3 linked regions of the Coturnix japonica genome follow. The protein of the gene in region 1 interacts with the protein of each later gene in a biochemical or structural test. Links are inferred from orthologs where the notes say so. Each region holds a gene or a part of one and is shown on either strand. Other genes may lie near its edges.

What was found.
Region 2: the proteins of CUL4B (region 1) and DTL form a complex in vitro, tested with the Homo sapiens proteins (2 studies listed by BioGRID). The link is inferred for Coturnix japonica from reciprocal best matches to the Homo sapiens genes CUL4B and DTL.
Region 3: the proteins of CUL4B (region 1) and AMBRA1 form a complex in vitro, tested with the Homo sapiens proteins (2 studies listed by BioGRID, with this or other methods). The link is inferred for Coturnix japonica from reciprocal best matches to the Homo sapiens genes CUL4B and AMBRA1.

The regions. Positions count from the first base shown.
Region 1 is NC_029519.1:15,294,633-15,301,006, forward strand, and holds part of CUL4B (cullin-4B), read left to right. Parts: intron 1-2,692; coding exon 2,693-2,808; intron 2,809-6,199; coding exon 6,200-6,303; intron 6,304-6,374.
Region 2 is NC_029518.1:19,430,811-19,436,562, forward strand, and holds part of DTL (denticleless protein homolog), read right to left. Parts: intron 3,095-5,752; coding exon 2,253-3,094; intron 1,044-2,252; coding exon 978-1,043; 3' UTR 1-977. UniProt on the Homo sapiens protein: Substrate-specific adapter of a DCX (DDB1-CUL4-X-box) E3 ubiquitin-protein ligase complex required for cell cycle control, DNA damage response and translesion DNA synthesis.
Region 3 is NC_029520.1:21,105,508-21,111,446, reverse strand, and holds the end of AMBRA1 (activating molecule in BECN1-regulated autophagy protein 1), read right to left. Parts: intron 4,022-5,939; coding exon 3,531-4,021; 3' UTR 2,496-3,530; downstream 1-2,495. UniProt on the Homo sapiens protein: Substrate-recognition component of a DCX (DDB1-CUL4-X-box) E3 ubiquitin-protein ligase complex involved in cell cycle control and autophagy.

The sequences.
Region 1 (6,374 bases):
ACAGACCATAATTCCTCACAATCTCTGCGGAGCTGCCGCTCAACTCTGTGTTTTGTTTTCAACATGAAAACCTGGTTGGCTTTCAAATAGCTCCAGGTTTTACAGGAAATGCTTTTTTGTGGTAAACATTCTTAGACTTATGTAAAGGGGGGTTATGTTGATGATGCGTCCTTGCCCGATCACGTGCACATCTGAGCCAGACTTCCCTGCTTGGGCTTATTGTTCTGACTGCATTCACTCTGTTGAGGAGAAGGCCCTTTCTAGTATCTTGAAGGAAACATTTTACTGCCTAAGTGTGTAAATCACCTTTGATCAAACTTCTGAGGTTTGAAAGCACTTTTCCAGTAACCCAGACTCAGGGTATACAGTATATTTTAGCCTTGTTTATGGTAAGTCTTTGCAAAGTATCCTTAAAAAAAAAAAAGACTTGAATCTCCATGTCTTGCCCACGTGTATTTTGTCTGTTTGTAGGTTAATCCGCTTGTGCTTAGTTTTAAATGTTGAAACTAAGGTGATTATCCAGCTCTTAAGGCGGATTTCCTTTCTGCTTCTCCTACTTGACTTCAGAGTAGGTAGTTCAGACTTTTGCAGGTTATTTTTCTTGCAGTATCATCACTGCTGTGCTTATTGCTTAATTTTTTAGCATCTTTTCTACTTTAATATGCTCTTCCTTTTTTTTTTTTCTTTTCAAATTTACATTGTTTTGTAGTTTCTCAACCAACATGGTGGAGCTTTTCCAATGTTGTTACTTGAGATCAACTGAAGCAGGGAAATGAAGCTTTCTGATGTGAATTCAGCATGATATTCTAATGAACAAAATTGAACTAGGTGAAGGCAGCGATCCTAGCTAAAATTCTGTAGTTTTTATCCTAAAAAACGTCTGAGAATTGTGAGATTTTCTTGTTAGTCCATTCTTCCCTTTCAAAGTAATTCAAGAACTTACTTTCCTGAGTGGTTTTGTTTTTCTTCTTATGTTTGGGTGGGAGAAGAGAGGGCTTAAAGGTCTGACAGAGATTAAAACGTATTTCTAAAGAGGCGGTTGATACAAATGTGCTGTAGAGATAGCACAGAAGGTGAGGATTAAGGATTACCTGAGCCACTGTAATGTTCCAGTGTGACTTTTTGCTTTAAGGACTACTTAATTCTCAAGAATGTTCCCAGTCTGTTTCCCGTGCTGCCATGTCACCATCTGTTAATTTGGTTGCCTTAAAACCTTGTACTTAGGGTGCATGATGGCAAGAAATAAATGCTGCCACTGCATGTACTTTGTTATTTTTAAGAGAAGGCAACTTTTCACATTGAAAATATTAACTACATGCCAGGGATGACATGGAGCTGCAATCATCATTGCTTATAAATTGCTCTTGGAATCACTTCCTTAAAAAGAATGTCTTGAGAATCTGCATCTCTGGTTTTTATTTATGCTCATATGCCAAGATGACTAATAATCGTAGTGTGCTTTTGTCTGCGATAGCAATACACGTCCTTTACATCTTCCTAAGATTCAGTATGTTGCTATTTACTCCTGTATGTCGTATTCATTGCAGGCTAGTGGAAATGAGCAAGTCCCAGTTGTAGCGAGTTGTCTCTGTACGGTACAGTCAGTGTTGGGATATTGCCATTACTGTAGGGAAATGTTTGGGAGGGGGAAGTAAACAGAAGAAGGATTATTTTTTTTTATCCCCAAGAGAAATGATAAAGCTTTGAGGTGTTTGGTGGGGTTTGTTGTTGTTGCTGTTGGTTTTTACCTTTAAGTTTGCAAAGTCCATTAGAGTGCAGTCAACTTCACTTGTTGGTGACAAGGATATGCATCTGACTTCCCGATTTTTCTCCTTTTCCCATCTCCATTTGGGAAATTCTATGACCCAGCAGAAGGGGTCATTTGAGTGAGCTTGAGAACACATCATTTTAAAGCAGTCTTGGTTTTCTGAGGATGTGACATGGGTGATCTTTTTCATGCTGTGGTAATTGCTTTGGTCTTGTTGTGGGCACTGCGTAGCAGAGCCTCTGGAAAATCTGCAAACACTTGAGCTATACGAGCATTAGAAGAGGCCTTAACTCTACAAATATCCTCTGGCCAAACCCAAGAGAAACATAAATAGATTAGTTAGAAATCCAGAGATTTTTCCTCGTGACCATAAAGCCTGTATTAAACTAAGTATTTCTATGCACATTACTTGGGAGTTTCTTTCCAAATATTAACGCAGAGTTGAAATTATATATTTAATTAGAAATATGCTGTGCACGACTCCGTATCCCTTAATCCATCATTTTCAGCTTTTGTTGCTTTGATTGATTATTTTTTCCCCCTCTATTAGCTGTGCTGTTCTGGTACTAGAAGGGCTTGTAATGAAAATGCAGAACAGTCTTCTTGGGTTTTAGTGCTCCCCTCGCTGAGCTGCATAAACATGTTATTTAGAATGTTTTCTATTAGTATTTTTCAATACAATCACAGTCTCTTAGGGCTGCTGATGTTGTCATGTGTACATGAAGAGCAGTGCTGAATTTTTAGTGTGTTACTATTTCAAATGTAAGAAACTGCTTTTGCCTCATTGCTTTCTTTTCACATGTGAAGTATAACTCAGAACATCAACGTATACATTCTCCTCTCTGAGTTACTTTTGTAAAAGGTAAAATCTTTTGCTCTTACTAAACGCTTCCTCAAACTCTTTAAAATAATTTCTTTTTCAAGATAAACCCAAATTGCCTGAAAACTACACAGATGAAACCTGGCAAAAACTGAAAGAAGCTGTAGAAGCAATCCAGAACAGTACTTCCATTAAGTACAACTTAGAGGAGCTCTATCAGGTAAGTGCTTTAAGTACACTTAAGTACAAGTGTTGAGGTGAGGGATTTTCTCGGTGGTTTAGGGTTTTTTTTTTTGGTGTCTTTTCCTGTTGTTTGATCTTACAGCAATGGTAGGAACGTGACGTTCTGTTGACAAATAAGGCAAGTAGCTGTATTTGGGTTTTCTGGTGTGTGGCTGCTAAAGGAGAAATATGAAAGTCCTAAAATGGTGGTATTTAAGTAAGAAAAGGATTACTGACAGTTCTGATTGAGGCTCATAGGTAATTAATTTGAAAACCACCATTTTTTGTTTGCCTTTCTAAAAGTAAATATAATACTGTCTTGGTTCGGTTTGTCTGTAATTGCTTGTCATTCAGCATTATTTCTAACTGAGAACTAACATCTGTTTGTTTCCTGCAACAGCTCTGACTATTTTGCCCTAAACCTTTCAGGAAGTGATTGGTCTTAAGCTGCATCTCGTAACGTTTTATTTATAAACTTTTCTTTTTGAGTTAATGTGATAGGGAGTCGACTTTTCCTCCTTACTTACTCTGAACTTAAGGTTTTAGTGGCATTACTACTTAAGCTAGGTATAGGGAAGCACTCTCATTATTTTGAAAGGTTTTATTACAGTGTTGGTTGTTCTCTGTTTCTGTATCTGTTGTTCAGTTCATCTGTTTTTGAGTTTGTTCTTCCTCATTCCCTCCCTCCCCTTCTTGCTAAATATTGTTTTAGATTTGCCTGGTTTCTGTGAAAAGCTGGGGGCAGAAATGCAGTTTGCAGAAGGTTTGGGATCAGATCAAGGGGAAAAATAAGTTATTTTCCTTGTGAAACCTGGATCTTCCCAGGCCAAGTTCCTTGGTCTGGTGCATTTTTAAGGTTATGACAATTTTTTATAATGCTCAGTGGTGAAACTAATGGCAAAGTACAGACCACCAGATTAGTTCATATCTAAAATAACATGCTCTAGACTGAACAACAGAGCAAATAAGTGCACTGTATTCATAATGGCTTAAAGATGCAAGGTTGTTAATACAACTTTGTATTGTGCTATGAAGTTGCCACTTAAATTCCTGCTGCTTTTTCTCACAGCCTTCGTTTTTGATGACACTTGTGCTAACAAAAAAGGATAAGATTATTCTTTTAAATCTGTTTTAACATCGTAATGATGTAGATACATTTTAAGAAAATAGAGAAATCATACTTGATTGCACACTCATTTTTATAAATATAAAAGTGTTGTGATTTAAAATGATTGGGAATCACTGTTGTTTTTAGTGCATACTGATGTCATTTCTGAATAACTGTTTGGTAAATGGATCTGATTCCAAATGTGCCTTGGCAGACACTATCCAAGCATAGAGGAAGTTGCAGGAGTCTGCAGAAGTTGTTGCAGCACATATCAAAATAGGATGCCTTTTTTAATGGAGTTGTTTAGTTTCACTCTTGTCTGTGTTGGAAAAACTTGCTGAGCAGACACTGAAGTTTTGTTAGTTTGTGGCTGTTAGTTTTGCACTTACTCTATTCCCCCTCCAAGAGGAGAGAGAACACAGTTGTGAGAGGCTGAAATTCTGTGCGATTGACTGCAGCTTTATGGGAACAATTCTTCTGTTAATACCAGAAAGTAAAGATCTCGATCTTTGGTACCTTATCTATAATTACTTTTTTTCCCCTTAATTAATCACAGTACATCTGGGAAGTTCTGAGGTTCCCTTGTCAGAGCAGTGCTTGTTTTGTCCCTGCTTTCCCTAACACGAACCCTAGTTTGGATGCTTTAATTAAAAGACTAGAATTCATCTTGAACATGGATTCAGATGTTTTGACCATCTGTAAGACACCGATGTCTTCACGAAATGTTTTAATTTGGCAATTCAGAATAAAACCACCTGATGAATTACAGCTTCTAAAGTTATCAGGAATTCCTTAGATAGAATTATGTCTTGTAAGTCTAGCAATAAAATTGGCAGTAGCATTGCAGCAGCGTTGTGCTTCGTGGAGCAGATTTGGTAACGCTTTTATCTGTGCGCTTAGGAAGTTTGTCTTCTTAAAAATCATCATCATAATGCCAGTAAGTTGGGCAGAATTCACAGATTATAAATATTGTTGTGGTTGTTACCAGCAAAGGTGCAGCAGCTTTGTATTTGGTATTCAAGCACATGCCTTCTGTTTAAGATTTTGGGATTTCTGATGCACAAATGGGAAAGCACAGCTTTTATATGAATGATGTATAGAAGCAAGCACATGCTCATATGTGCTAATAGGTGTGTCTTTCTGCCTGCAGTGAAAAAGCCAAGTTTTATAAGGACTTGTGGCAGTGTGGTTAAATAGCACTTGGGTTGATAGGCAGCAGTGAGGAGGATGTTCAGCTGAAGTGGCTGAGCTGAGCTCTCAGCTGCTGGTGAAGTACGGTGAAATAGCTGCAGGGGTCAGAGTGCTGCTTAGAAGTGAGGCTGGCAGGGCTATGCGGGCAGCTAGCAAATCAGGAACATCCATCTTTCTTGCTCTTTGTTGTCTCCTCCAAAATAAGTGAGAGAAGTAGTAGTCTGCTTACTGCACTCGATGGAACTTTATCAGTCTCTTTAAATTTGGTGTTTTCAATCATTGTTTTCTTCTGAAATCAAAGTAGCCATTAAACAGCAGCAGATCTTGGGAATTAATGTTGAGCCTACCCCTATGGGTGGTACAGCACGATAGAGTTGATTGTCCTTCACAACCTACTCTGAAATGTAATCTGGAATGTGTTCTTATTGTATTGTTGTGTTTGTTTGGGATTCCTTCCATGTTAAGAGTTAAATTTATTGCTGTTTACAAATACTAAGATCTGTGTATTTTGACAATTTCTGTCTTTTCTAATAATCCGAACTCAGATGTCACATACCTGGCTCATATTTCTGTACATTGGTGCTTAGAAGATGCTGGCTCAGCTTTAATTGTCACGCTTACTCTTGCTCTACCTGTTTCTTTCTGTCGAGCTTATGCAAGTTTGATTTTCCTGTTGGCAGTGTTGGCTGGTTTTTATTTTGTTCCAGCTTTGCTGTGTCACAGAGCCCATATTTACTGACTGCACTTGTGCTGCCTACATCAAGAAGTGCTGTGTACCCCAGGAGTGATTACCAGTTTAACTGCTTTGATTATTGCTGTGCTTGTAATGGTGGCTGTTAGCAAGTATTTGAGGGGGCTTCAATGTGATGGAATAGGCGTGCTCTAATAAGACCTCATGTTTTAATCTGCTCAGGGCACAGCTCTCCTTTGTCTCTCAGTACAGTTGCAATGTCTTGTATCTCTAGTGTTTGGCATGAAGATGATGGACTCTGAGTGAGAAGCAGAAGAATCCCATGTCTTTTTTTTTCCTTGTAAAACCACATGTGAGAGCATAAACAGACTTCTTATAATTGCTTTCTCTTTATTTCAGGCTGTTGAAAATCTCTGCTCCTACAAGATTTCAGCAAACTTGTACAAACAATTGAGACAAATCTGTGAAGACCACATTAAAGCACAAATTCACCAGTTCAGAGAATATCCTTTTTAGCTGTTGACAAGCCAAAATGTTTTTACCTGCCAGTTTGTAGTGATGGATTTCTCTAAGT
Region 2 (5,752 bases), on another chromosome or scaffold:
TAATCTGTAAACTTCGTGAAGTGCTCTCTAAAATGTGAAGTGGCCCCACGTTTACAAGCTATTATTTAATAAATACTGTATTGTAAAAGTGTCATAAAGGTATTTTATAAGCAGTTACTAATGCCTTTGCTTCAGGCTGAACATGTAAGAAGTCACTGAGCAACCATTTGTTATGGAACGCTGTTAGGCAATAACTTTTGTGACACACCTTGCCAATATTTTATTTCAGAGAAGTGACAAGCTGTTGGCCTCTACAGCTCTAGTGCAGATGGTCCAAAAGCCAACTACGTTGGTAAGTACTGAAGTTTTCAGCCTTTGAGAAGGAAAGCAATGGCAAGAAGAGTAAAGGCATTAAGTACTCAATTATACCCTCTCTTCTTTTAGACAATAATCACCAGTTGTGTGATTGGATGGAAATGGACACAAAGGCATTTAAAATTATTTTGTATTTATACATTCAAAACTTCCTTGCTGGAATCGAGTAGTTTGTGCTGTAGTAGAGGACTAACTGGAAATGCCATTCAGCACAAAGTAGTTCAGCTCTTCCTGTAGAATGGGCTTCTGGACACAGCATTTGCATTTCTGCAGGGTACAGTGCCTCACACAGTATTCTCAAATAAAGAAAGTTTCAATGGCAGATTAGTAACATTGAGGGATAAATTGCCTGTCAGCAATATGCATCACACCAGTTGCTCTCTTTATAACAGCAATCACATAAAAAATACTGTTTTCTCTATAAAAATGATCCATTACCTGACATGAATAAAAGAGCATGAGTCTCTATGTATCATATTAATTTTCTATGCTCTGAGGATTTCAAGTGTTAATAGGCTTTATAACAGAAGAGTTTACCGATGTCCAACAACAAACTGTGTAATGCTGGCATATTACTCTGTCAGCTGTGCTAAATCTGGTCTCAGTACCACAGTGTCAACATCCAACATCCATCAGGTGCATCAGCCGCACACAACTTCAAGTCAGTTCTGTGGCTTTCTGTGGAAGTACGTGCAGATCTTCCTCATGGAAACTGGAGTGGTTACAGCCTACAAAAAAACAAAACCAACAAGACATGTTTCTGAGTTAACAGTTTGTATGCTGCAGAATTCTTAAAGTCTCCTTTCCATCACTGCTCCAGTTTTAGCTTCTCAAATCTGAGCTAGAATATACTATGTGGGAGAGATAATTGTTTTATGGTAATCACTCTCCAGGGCAAATCTTAGTCTTTATGTTTAAGCAGGTACACCATAAATCACAAGCACTTGCAGGTTTTCTTGGTACCACTACAAGATGAAGAGTTCAACTGCTGCGACCCAAGGTGTGGTGGTCTGCACACTTCACACCTTGTAGAAGTACTGAAAGAGATGCGAGATATTTCAGCAAAACAGGCCCTAAACATGGCAGCAACTTCTAGCATCAAACATTCACTTGAAAATAAAGCGAAATTTTGACAATTGGAAATTTACTTGGAAAGCACTGAAATAATATTCAGTCAAAGATGCTTTAGGACCTAGAGCCCAGTTTCAGAGTTTAGTTTGTTTTTTAAATATGTAATTTCTCAGTATGCATGTTAAATCCTCCAGTCCTCATGCCAACTTCTCTAGCTGCTTTATAAGCAGGTCATTCAGATCCTAGGATGAGCTCAGTGACAGGTTTCTTATATAGCAAAACTAAGATTATGTAGGTCAAATCCCACCCTCTGACTCTTCTGCGATTCCTTTGTTTTCTGTTAGTTTTCAGTAGAAAGAACTGGAGGCATTACTTAGCTCACGGTTTTAACATGGGTAAAAAGTTCTCTGCTGCTTGGGCTAGAATAAAATTTAGCTCTTTCTTCCAGTGCTCAAGTGGCTTTTCAGTAGTATTAACAGGCAGATGTGACACTGAACAGTAGATCTGCCAGGAAAGGTGCTGTCATTATTGCACTTCTCAGAGAAGAGCTGTATTTCAGAAGACAGCCACAGCCTTCAAACATCCAGCTGGGAGCTATGAGGATTTCTTAGCTTCTGTGTGCTCTAAGTCCTTCTCAAAGGAGGTACAGGACCATCTTAAGAATTCTCCTCCAGCACAGAATGGATTAGTGTATTACAGCATTAATATACCTAGATTATTAAGCGAGAAATAATCTCTTGTCCATAATTAAAGATAGCAGACAATTCTCCAAGCGTTTATGAGAGATCTGACCGTGTGTAGAAAGGGGACAGTGGTACCTAGGAATAACTTCTCTCGTTACCACTGCCCCTGATCATCCTACTTACAGCTTTTGGTGAGGTGGTCGCTACCGCAGCCTCTTGACGTTTTGCACTGGAGTTGTAAGATGATGGGGGGCTGCCAGCTTTGCCAGTCCGTAGCCTCTCTCCCAGAGCAGACAGCCAGTTTCTTCTTTCTGGTGAACTATTCTCTTTATCTACAACATCTGAGTGTCTCTCACCAGGAGACTGTAAAACAAGAGGGGGAGTTGAAGTGCCGGATGGATTAACATGATTTCCAGGAAAAGAAAGCTCTTTTGGGCTGTGGCTCTTGTCTTCATGCTCATTATCCAAGTCAGCCAGATTTAGAGAGCCCTCATCACAAGCTCTTTGGCCTGCAGCCAAGTGACATAAATTTAGCTTGGACTTCTTAGCCACATGGTCCAGTTCAGTCACACAGCTACAGGCCTGCAGACACTTCTGCCCTGCTTCATCTTCCTTGCTGCAGTCCAGCCTTCTCTTGGCACGCTTTTCAGCCTGTAAGTGTTGTGCTTTAGGAGTGCTAGATGTTTCCAAGAGACTTTGTGTGACTTCTGCCAGGGCTTTTCTAGGAGAAGGTGTCTTTTTCCCTACTTCTGGGGAAGAGCAGGGAGTCCTGGCAATCCAGTGTTTAATGGACATTTTGGAGGAAGGCGCCAGTTTGGGAGAAGCACGTGGGCTGACTCCACTCAGCTTTGCTGGAGTGCAGACTGAGGCCATTTGTGTTTTGAGAGAGATTGTTGGAGTGTTTGTAGATAGAGGAAGGTCTCCAGAATAACTGGGAGCACAGGCAGCTGGACGTGGTGAGGAAGCACATGGGTTGCCCACTGAGAAGGCCTTGGCAGGAGTATTCTGCGGGCTGGCTGATCGTGCTGATGGAGCAAAAATAAGCAGTCTGATGAGAAACGCAGAGCAGCAGACTAAAAACAGCCCTTTCATACCTGTCCCAGCTAGGAGATTAATTCAGTGCTGCCCCCGATTCTCAGATATACCCTGCTGAATTAGATTGCATGGATGCTTCTTTTAACAGTTAAACTGATACAAGTCCACATAATCCTGTATCACTTGGCTAAGTATAATACAGTACGTTGGCTTAATGTCTGACTTCTATTCCTTCTATGACTAGAACCCTTACTTAAGCTGTAGCTGAGGGACTAATGGATAGACAAAACAGATCTTGAATCTTCTAAGTTTATCGAGCCTTGCTGGCAGCTTTGCAATAGCTCAGTCCAGACAGCTCTGTTTTGGGAAGCTGCCTGAAAACAAGGCTGGCTCTCTATTCACAGCTGGTCAGTCTATCTGCCCAATCTTTAACAGTTTCATGATTGAATTAAGGGACAAAGGTACCAAAGGTACAATTAGCAGGTCCCATAGCTAATTGTACCAGGAAAGCTTTATTATGCAGTGCCATGCCACAGGATCAATGCTCCTGGTCAAGCATTAACAATTGCAATTTTTTAAGATGAAAAAAAATGAGAATGGGAAAGTACATACTTTCACCTTCTTGTCTTTTTGATGGAGAATTTTCTGCATTGCTATTTTAGGACAAAGATGGCAGTTATTTACCACACCCAATGACATATGAGAAATTCTTCACCTCCCCAGCAAGGATTTAAATTCCCAAGAAAAAAAAAATCTGTCACTGGCCTTTAAAACAAATGACCTCCTGACAAATACGTCATAATGGTGTTTGAGCTCACTAGTCAGGCTGTTAAAATCCCCTGCTTTTAAAGCAGAAGCTTCTGAAAACCCAGGTTATTAATACAATAGTCAGAGGGTAGCTTTACACCTAAGACTTCACAAGGTCCTTAACAGTAACAGCGGGCATCATATATAGCAAAGATCTCAGTCTGCAGAAATACTAGAGAATTTTTTTTATAGGACACTCCAACAGAGAACACATTTACATGTCTTTTAGATGCCTGCACATCTAACTTGGGGTGATGCAATCAAATAAGATAGCATAAGATAAGACTCCAAGCGTTTCCTCTCCCAGGCACAAGAGCTCTGACTGTTTTCAGTTTTCCAAAGGTTTAATCCAAACTCATAATTTTCTACATTAGCTGCTGTAAAGTACTTCATTACAACAATGAGAAATCTAGTGTGAATAACTTGCCTTTTTCATTAGGATGTAGGGCTGTCTCACAAACAACATGTCAAGTGAACACCTACATGACTCTTTGATACCATTACAAGCCTCTTTTGACCCTTCCTCTTATTACATTATCTAGCCCTTTAAAATAAACGACCGGTGCATGAGATCAAAAGGAATATGACACCATATTAATGGATCTCACTACAAATCACCTAAAAGCAGAGAGAATTAAAGGCTCCTTTCCAGACAAAATGTGCTACTTCATAATAACTTACTTCAACTTGGACTAAGAGAAAATCACTGCCAAGATTGGGTCTCTTAATCTTCACTTTAATGAGCACTTACAGAACAATAATATCTCAGCTGGGGAACCCAATGCATTTTCAAAATTAAGCTCCTAGAGGTAGAAGAAAAGAAGCAAGCTCAGCAGTTCTCGTTCTCTAATGACCATCTACAAATCCGCACAGCAGAAATGTGGCATGATCAGCTGGGTTTGAGCACTCTCAATCCCATACCAATGTGAAAGCTACACTGTGGAGACCTTGGATAACAGAAAAAAAGCTGTTATGAGAGCTGGAGGGGGGTCATGGCAAAAAGCAAACTAGTTATATCCCCAAACTTAAGACAAGGATACATTAATCAGGCTTCTGCTGAGCCAGTCTCAAGCTGCTCCCCTTCATGCTGCCATTCCACATAGCATTGCATGTCTCCATATACTGTATCTGCAGTCAAGTTGAATAACACCAATGCAGATATCTGAGAAATTTCTCACCTTTTCTGCTGCAAATTCTTTAGAATGGTATTATGAACCTCCAGATTTAAGAGTCATGAATTTTCCATGCGCAGACCTGCTCCAGGAATTTGGTTACACAAAAGCATAGAGAAAGTAGTGCAAATTAGGGAAACCACAGAAACAGTTTCCAAAGGAAAGGAAACTCTGCTTCCTACACTCCATAATATAGGTCAACAGTTAATGTGCATCCTACGCCTCACAATTCATTCCACACAAATGGGTGGAGAACTACCTAGACTTCATCCCAGCCGGTCTGAAATACTACTTAGTTGCATGCTCTGAATCAGTCTCTGCAGATAACTCCTATATTTTAACAGCATGTGCTTTGTGTTCAAGAGCCAAGGTCAGCAGGAAGCCTGCTGTTGTGTTTGCAGTGTCTGTGCACTTCCTTTTCCCTCCTGTGTTGCTTTAATGCAGCAAGAAATAAGCTATTTTTCTAGTGTAATTGCTGAAGCCGACTTGTAAAGTTTCAGCATACAAATCACTTTGGATTTCAGACTTCTACACTAGACTCACATTTACTTCTCTTCTGCAGAAATTAATACACAAAGTGTACTTCTCAGCCTGCTCTGAAGCAGTATGAATGCACACACAAACCGTAAACCCTCAGCAGAGCAGAGCTGGCACTCTCCCTGCTATTGT
Region 3 (5,939 bases), on another chromosome or scaffold:
AGTGCCTACACAGGGAAACGCTGTGAAGGATTCACACAAAAGCCCCCTTCCAGCACAGCAGCTCCAACCAACAATTCCAGGGCTCCAGGCTTCTGGCTCCTTTTCTCTTTTCCTTGCTAACCTAAATAACACTGGGACTTCAGCTGTTCCCCTGCTCTTTTAGCTCATTAGGGTGTTTAGAGAACCCTAACTCCTACACAGCCTGGCCAACCCACCATTAACCTCTTTCCACACCAAGAACTGGCTCTTACTTCACCTCCCATTCCCACCTCAGTGTTTGTCTCCATGCGGACTTTACCCCTTACCCTGGAGGTGACTCACTTTCTTTAATAGCCTCTTGTGAGGGACTTCATCAAAACCCTTTAGAAAGCTAAATAAAATTCTCAGCGCTGCATTCCTCCTTTCCCCAGGATTTTGTTAGCACATTAAAAGACTCCTGACAAGCTATGGCTGAGAAAAGCTTTTGGTTTTTAAGATTATTTCCTGCTCCTAAGCAGCAAAGCTCTCATTTTGCCTCCTAAATTGGGCCAGCAAACACGCGTGGCTCCAGCTCGGTTTCCTCAGGCAGCTCGTGTTGAATCTCCACCTCGCTCCTGGCAGGGTGCTTGCCTCCGTGCTGCGTTATCACGCTGCAGCAAGCAGATAAGCTGCAGGCTTTTAGGAAGGAGCCTCACAACACCGCTGCAATCCCACAACCTGCGCTGCACAGTACTCTGTACCTCAGGCAGCTGGGCAGATTGTGGGATGGCCAAAGGCCCATGCTAGAGTTTAGCTCAGCCTTGCTCTAACCAACCTCCAGCTCATGGGCTAAGAAGTCCAAGGCAAGGGAGGGGAGCTGTGCTTGGCACATTCTAGGACTGCACTCCAAAAATAAAATACGCACTTCACACACAAAGTTCAAGAGCACCTGCTGGCTTTGTGGCCATATAGCAAGATGCCTACAAAGCACATCCAAGGCAGCATCTGAGGAGTAAGCCTACCCGCTCCATTCCTACTTACAGCTTGTACAAGCACAGAGGCCAGGCCATGGCTGTCACCACACTCTGGCCCAAAGCTAGAGAGCCGGTTAAGAGGAACACCAAAGCTGCCTGCTTTGATCAGGTCCCCCACCCTTATGTCATCTGTGGGCTTTCCCCACAAGCCCTCAAACAAGCAGCTGCTTTGGAACTTCAGAAGCGTCCCAAGTTGATGCCAAGTGGAACGGCTGCAGTTTGCTGCAGCTCCCACTGGAGTTCACTGCCGCTCTGCCAGTGTCTCAACGGGGACAGGTCCTGACCAAGTGGCAGCTCCCAGCAGAAAAGCTCTGGGCCCTGCACAGAGCAGCCCTCCATGGCACCAGGCCTTTGAGAACCTCTTGCTAGAGCAACACAGCCCAGAAGATCTTTTCCCAACCATGATGGAAATTTTTCCATAGGTAGTTTGGCTCTGGTTACAGAAATGGACATGTGTAAATGCTCTGCAACACATCCACTGAGAATGGGCCTGAAGACTCTTCCAGAAACCATGCAAGGAGAGGGAACAGGAGATGCCAGGCTGAGCTGAAGCAGAAGCATTTTTTTTCCAGGCTCTGTTTTTGTTTTCAAGCAGAGCAGTAAACAGCTCTGCCCAGACCTGTGCTGCCCTGTGCTGCTCGAGTCCTCAGCTGAGACAAAGCTCCTCCAGCTCCCAGTGTCGGCACATCCTCCTGCCACCCGACACTGAGGCTATAGGGATGCATGAAGCCTTCCTCATCACACAAGGGAATCCCGTTTTTCAGGCTGCTCTCCTGTCAGATCAGGGATGTGGTTGGCTCAGGGCAGGTTTTAGAGTCTCATTAACACTCTGCAATGAGGCCTGGCAGCAGCTGATTTGATTTAAGGTTCATTTCCAGGCTGTGATTTAAGAGAAGATTTGCTTAATGTTCTCTAACAGACTCTTCTGACTGGGAGCCTGAGTGCTGCCTAATGACAGCCTTATTTATTGTAACATCTTTGCAGTGCAGAGTCTAGAGGAGCAGAGCAGAAGCACAGCAGCTGCTGGCAGGTGATCTGATGGCAGAGGAAGCATCCCTCAGTGCAGACAGTGGTAACAGACGCTGGGGCGTGCATTCCTTTATCCAGGACAGCCAGACCCTGGATCTCTTTTCTGCTTCAAGAGTTCAGCAAGACAGATCCCTCTCTGCTTGTCTAAGATGGACAGAGCTGTTACGTACCATTTTGAACAGGACAGGGGAAATGCTCCACTTTCTCTCTGTTGCAGTACCTGAATGATAGGAAATGCAGAAGTGCCTGCTCATCCCCAGACTGGTTGAAAGGCAAATTGCAATTGAGATTCTCTATTCCTCCCCTCTGCTGCATAGTTGAAAGCCTTCCACTCCAACGCTGAGCCTGCCATCCTTCCGGAAAGGGAATGACCATTATCTGACGTTTGTAAGCTACCCTGAGTTCCTGAGCTGGATGTACCTATCTCCCAAAGTCAATCCCATAGAGATCCATCACACAAATGAAGACAGTAGGTCAAGCAAGGGTTTGTCATATTTTAATGACATTAATCTTTGGTGTTTCCCTCGTTAGCACTCACACTCTCCCCGTCCTTCCTCCACAAACCTGCTAGGGATGGAGAGTTACAAACGAAAAGGAAAATCACATTTGAGACTAAAAACAGAATATCAGAGCCTTGATTTCTCCACTAGAAACTACATGTACAAGGTCAAGATTTCACATGCAACACCTTACATCACAGACCCATACCTCACACCCTGGCCTGGAGCTCAAAGACATTTCCTGCCCCCTGCCAAGGAGGTGCAGCTCAGTCCTGGCACCATGAAACCACTGGGATGGCTCATTCATGTTAAATGTTGGCACAACTTATGAACTGCATCCTGACTGGAGAGCAGTAGCCCCTGTCCCTCTATTCATCTACATAGCAGCTCTGCTTAGGTTCCTGGCAAGTACTAACCTAATTTCTAAGAAGGAAAGATCCCCACGTGTAAGCAGTTCCCGAGCCATGAAGGTTTTGATGAATCCTAGCTCTTCCCAGAAAAGACCACAGCACAGGACTGTGTCCTGGAAGACTCCTCTGCTCCAGCAACAGCGCTGGAGCATCACGCCCAGGTTTGCACAGGAGGGCTGCCAGTCTCCAGAAGGATGCTGCAGGCCTGTTTCCCTTCACTCTGCTGATCAGCCCCTATGCATAAATGGGCAGGAAAGAGGAAAGGGGAGAAGCATTACAAAGAATGACACTGACCAAACTGCAGGGTTGAGCTCAGGGGATCCCACACGACTTCAAAATCTGCATGGAGTACAGCCAGTATTGTTTATATTCCTGTTCTTATTCAGCAGTGGGAATGTTGGAAGTTAAGATACTATGCTTTCTTGCCCATGGCTTCCTCGCAGTTCTTATCCATTGCCACTCACCCAGGACATAGAAACCCTCTGAACTACCAACATCCTGTTGGAGCCACATGTCCCTACTCTTCCAGCTTCCGGCCAGCTGTGAGGTACAGGTCTCTGCTGAGCAGTACAAGGGTAGCACCAACACACAACTCATTTCTACCTGTTCCGCGACTCCCCACTGGTGCTGTCATTACTATAGAAGTTGGTACTGTCAGGAAGATGGTTATTATTAGTTAGGTCACTGTATTCGATTGGTCCCTCAGTGTCCATGGAGGGCTGGGCCTGCTCCGGCAGGTCCAGGTCACCAGTGCCTCGTCCTTCACTCCCACCAGAAGATGTCCGCGGGCTCAGGCCGTGCTCCGACAGCTGCATAGACTCTGAAAGGATCCGTCCCTCCAGCTCAGATGCCAGCTGCTGTGAGGTGGACTGATGTGCTGATGTTCCCTCAGCTCCAGTGGACTCCGCACCAGTCTGAGAGCTGCGGTGGATCCGGTGACTCACTATGATGTTGTTGCCAAAGCCACCCATGGACGCCATGGTGGTGCTCTGCTCCCGCTGCACCACAGCAGTCATGCCACCTTCTGCCATCAGCCTTTGTATCCTGCTCAGGGCATCCTCCCCACCGGCCCCGTATTCTGGACCTTCACCTGCAAAGAGAGAGCAAAAGCAACTTTGGTGCATCAGGCAGACTAAAGCACCAAGAAAATGCATGCACAATGTCACTGAATAACAGGGCACGTGTGCTGGGACAGAAGACAGGCTTTGCTCCAGTGGAAGTTCAGTATTTCATTTCTGTAACTTTCCTTCAAATGCCAAACAAATGCAGTGCCCTTAGTCAAGAAGTCCAGTGTGTAGGTTCCTGCTCTCCCCAACAGGTATTTTTTCGAGGAACATCTCTTAAGGTTTTTGTTTACTCTCCCTCAAACTTCCCCTCATAATCTGGTTGTACTGAGCTCTGAGGGAACCACTGTCAAATGCCTCTGAAAAAGAAAATCTCTTGGAAAAATAGCCCATGTAGATTAAAACCCACAGCAGGAACATTCAAGCCCAGTTCTGTTTTTCACCATTCTCCTTTTGCTACAAACCTTAACCAGACCGTCTGGGGAAAACAATCAGTAATCATGAACTGCCAGAATCATTCCACAGTGGGATCCTGACGATTCTTATTAAAGAGATAAATCTCACTCCCAGCTCCATGAAGCTATCACAGTGCTGATTAGAGGAGGAGAAAACCACGAGCTCTCCTGGCACCAAAGAAATCAACACAAATGTCAACAAGGCTAAGATGTAGGCTGAAGTTAAAACACAACAAAAACCAAAATGCCACGCTGACTAGGAAGACAAAACACCTGGGACTGTGGGATAGAGATCGTGTCTCCAGTATGGGAGCTGGGATATTCAGCACAGACAACACCATGCTGCTGTAGATGTTATTTTTTGTGGAAAAAACAAGATAGTTAAAGCTGTTAACATTTATGCAGTCAGTCGGTGACAGCTTACTCCTTTTATTCTCTGTCTCAGTGGTATTTGCATCAAATACCATTGACTTCCTCCACCACAGAGTATGCCTAATTTCTTCAAGCAAGCCTGCTGACATACTGCCCTGCTGTAGAAACACAGCAGATATTAAGGGCAAGCTTAATTCTCACAAGCAGAATAAGTCCTTTTCTGCTAGGAACGTAGCAAGTCTGCTATATCAACCATACATACAACAATTACATAGCTCCTTGATTAGGGCATTAGCGAGACTGTGGAGACACCAGTAATCACATGAGAATTTGGAGCAGAGCCCAGAGGATTGTGCAAGAACACCGACTGTGCAGAGCATGGCCAGTAACTGCAAGCAAAGAAATCCTATCCAGGATGTTGATGCATGAGCTAGGAACCAGACTGACCAGCACAAGGAAGACCAAGAACAGAATAAGGAAGGATTGGAAGGACTGGAAACTTCAGTGTGAAAAACATGAATGCCAGGTAATATTGGAACATCAATCTTGAGCAGGAGTAAGTGGAAGGTTTGAGAAGCATGGTTTTGAATTCAGTCGCTGCTGCTTCCTTCTGGGGACACAGTCATAAGCACTTCATTACCAACCATCTGGTCAGGCCAGACAGGAAGCTTGAGAAAGCCAAGATGTGCAACCTGGTTGAGAGGAATGCCAGCCCACCCTACCTACACAAGCCCTGGAACAGCAGGTACTGTGCTCTTGACAGATCGCCTGCTATAAGCTGGCCCATGCAGGAGTGCTGGAACTGTGTATCAGCCAGGATCCCCAGCCGATACTCCTTAACATTACAAACATATGCTTCACAAGAGGAGTCCATGCACACAGCGCACACTGCAGCATCTCCTGCTATTCCCATCCCCTTAATTACTACACGTTATGGCTGAACTGCCAGTTAAGGCACATGCCTCCTCAGAGAACAGGCCAGGGCTGATGCCATAGTAGGAATTGGAAGGTCAGAAGTCCTCAGACTACAAGAACTGAGACACAGACATGCTGGAAATGCCAGAAAGACAGATTATCGAAGGCCAGAAGTCAGCTTTACCATTCAAGTGGCCAAGAA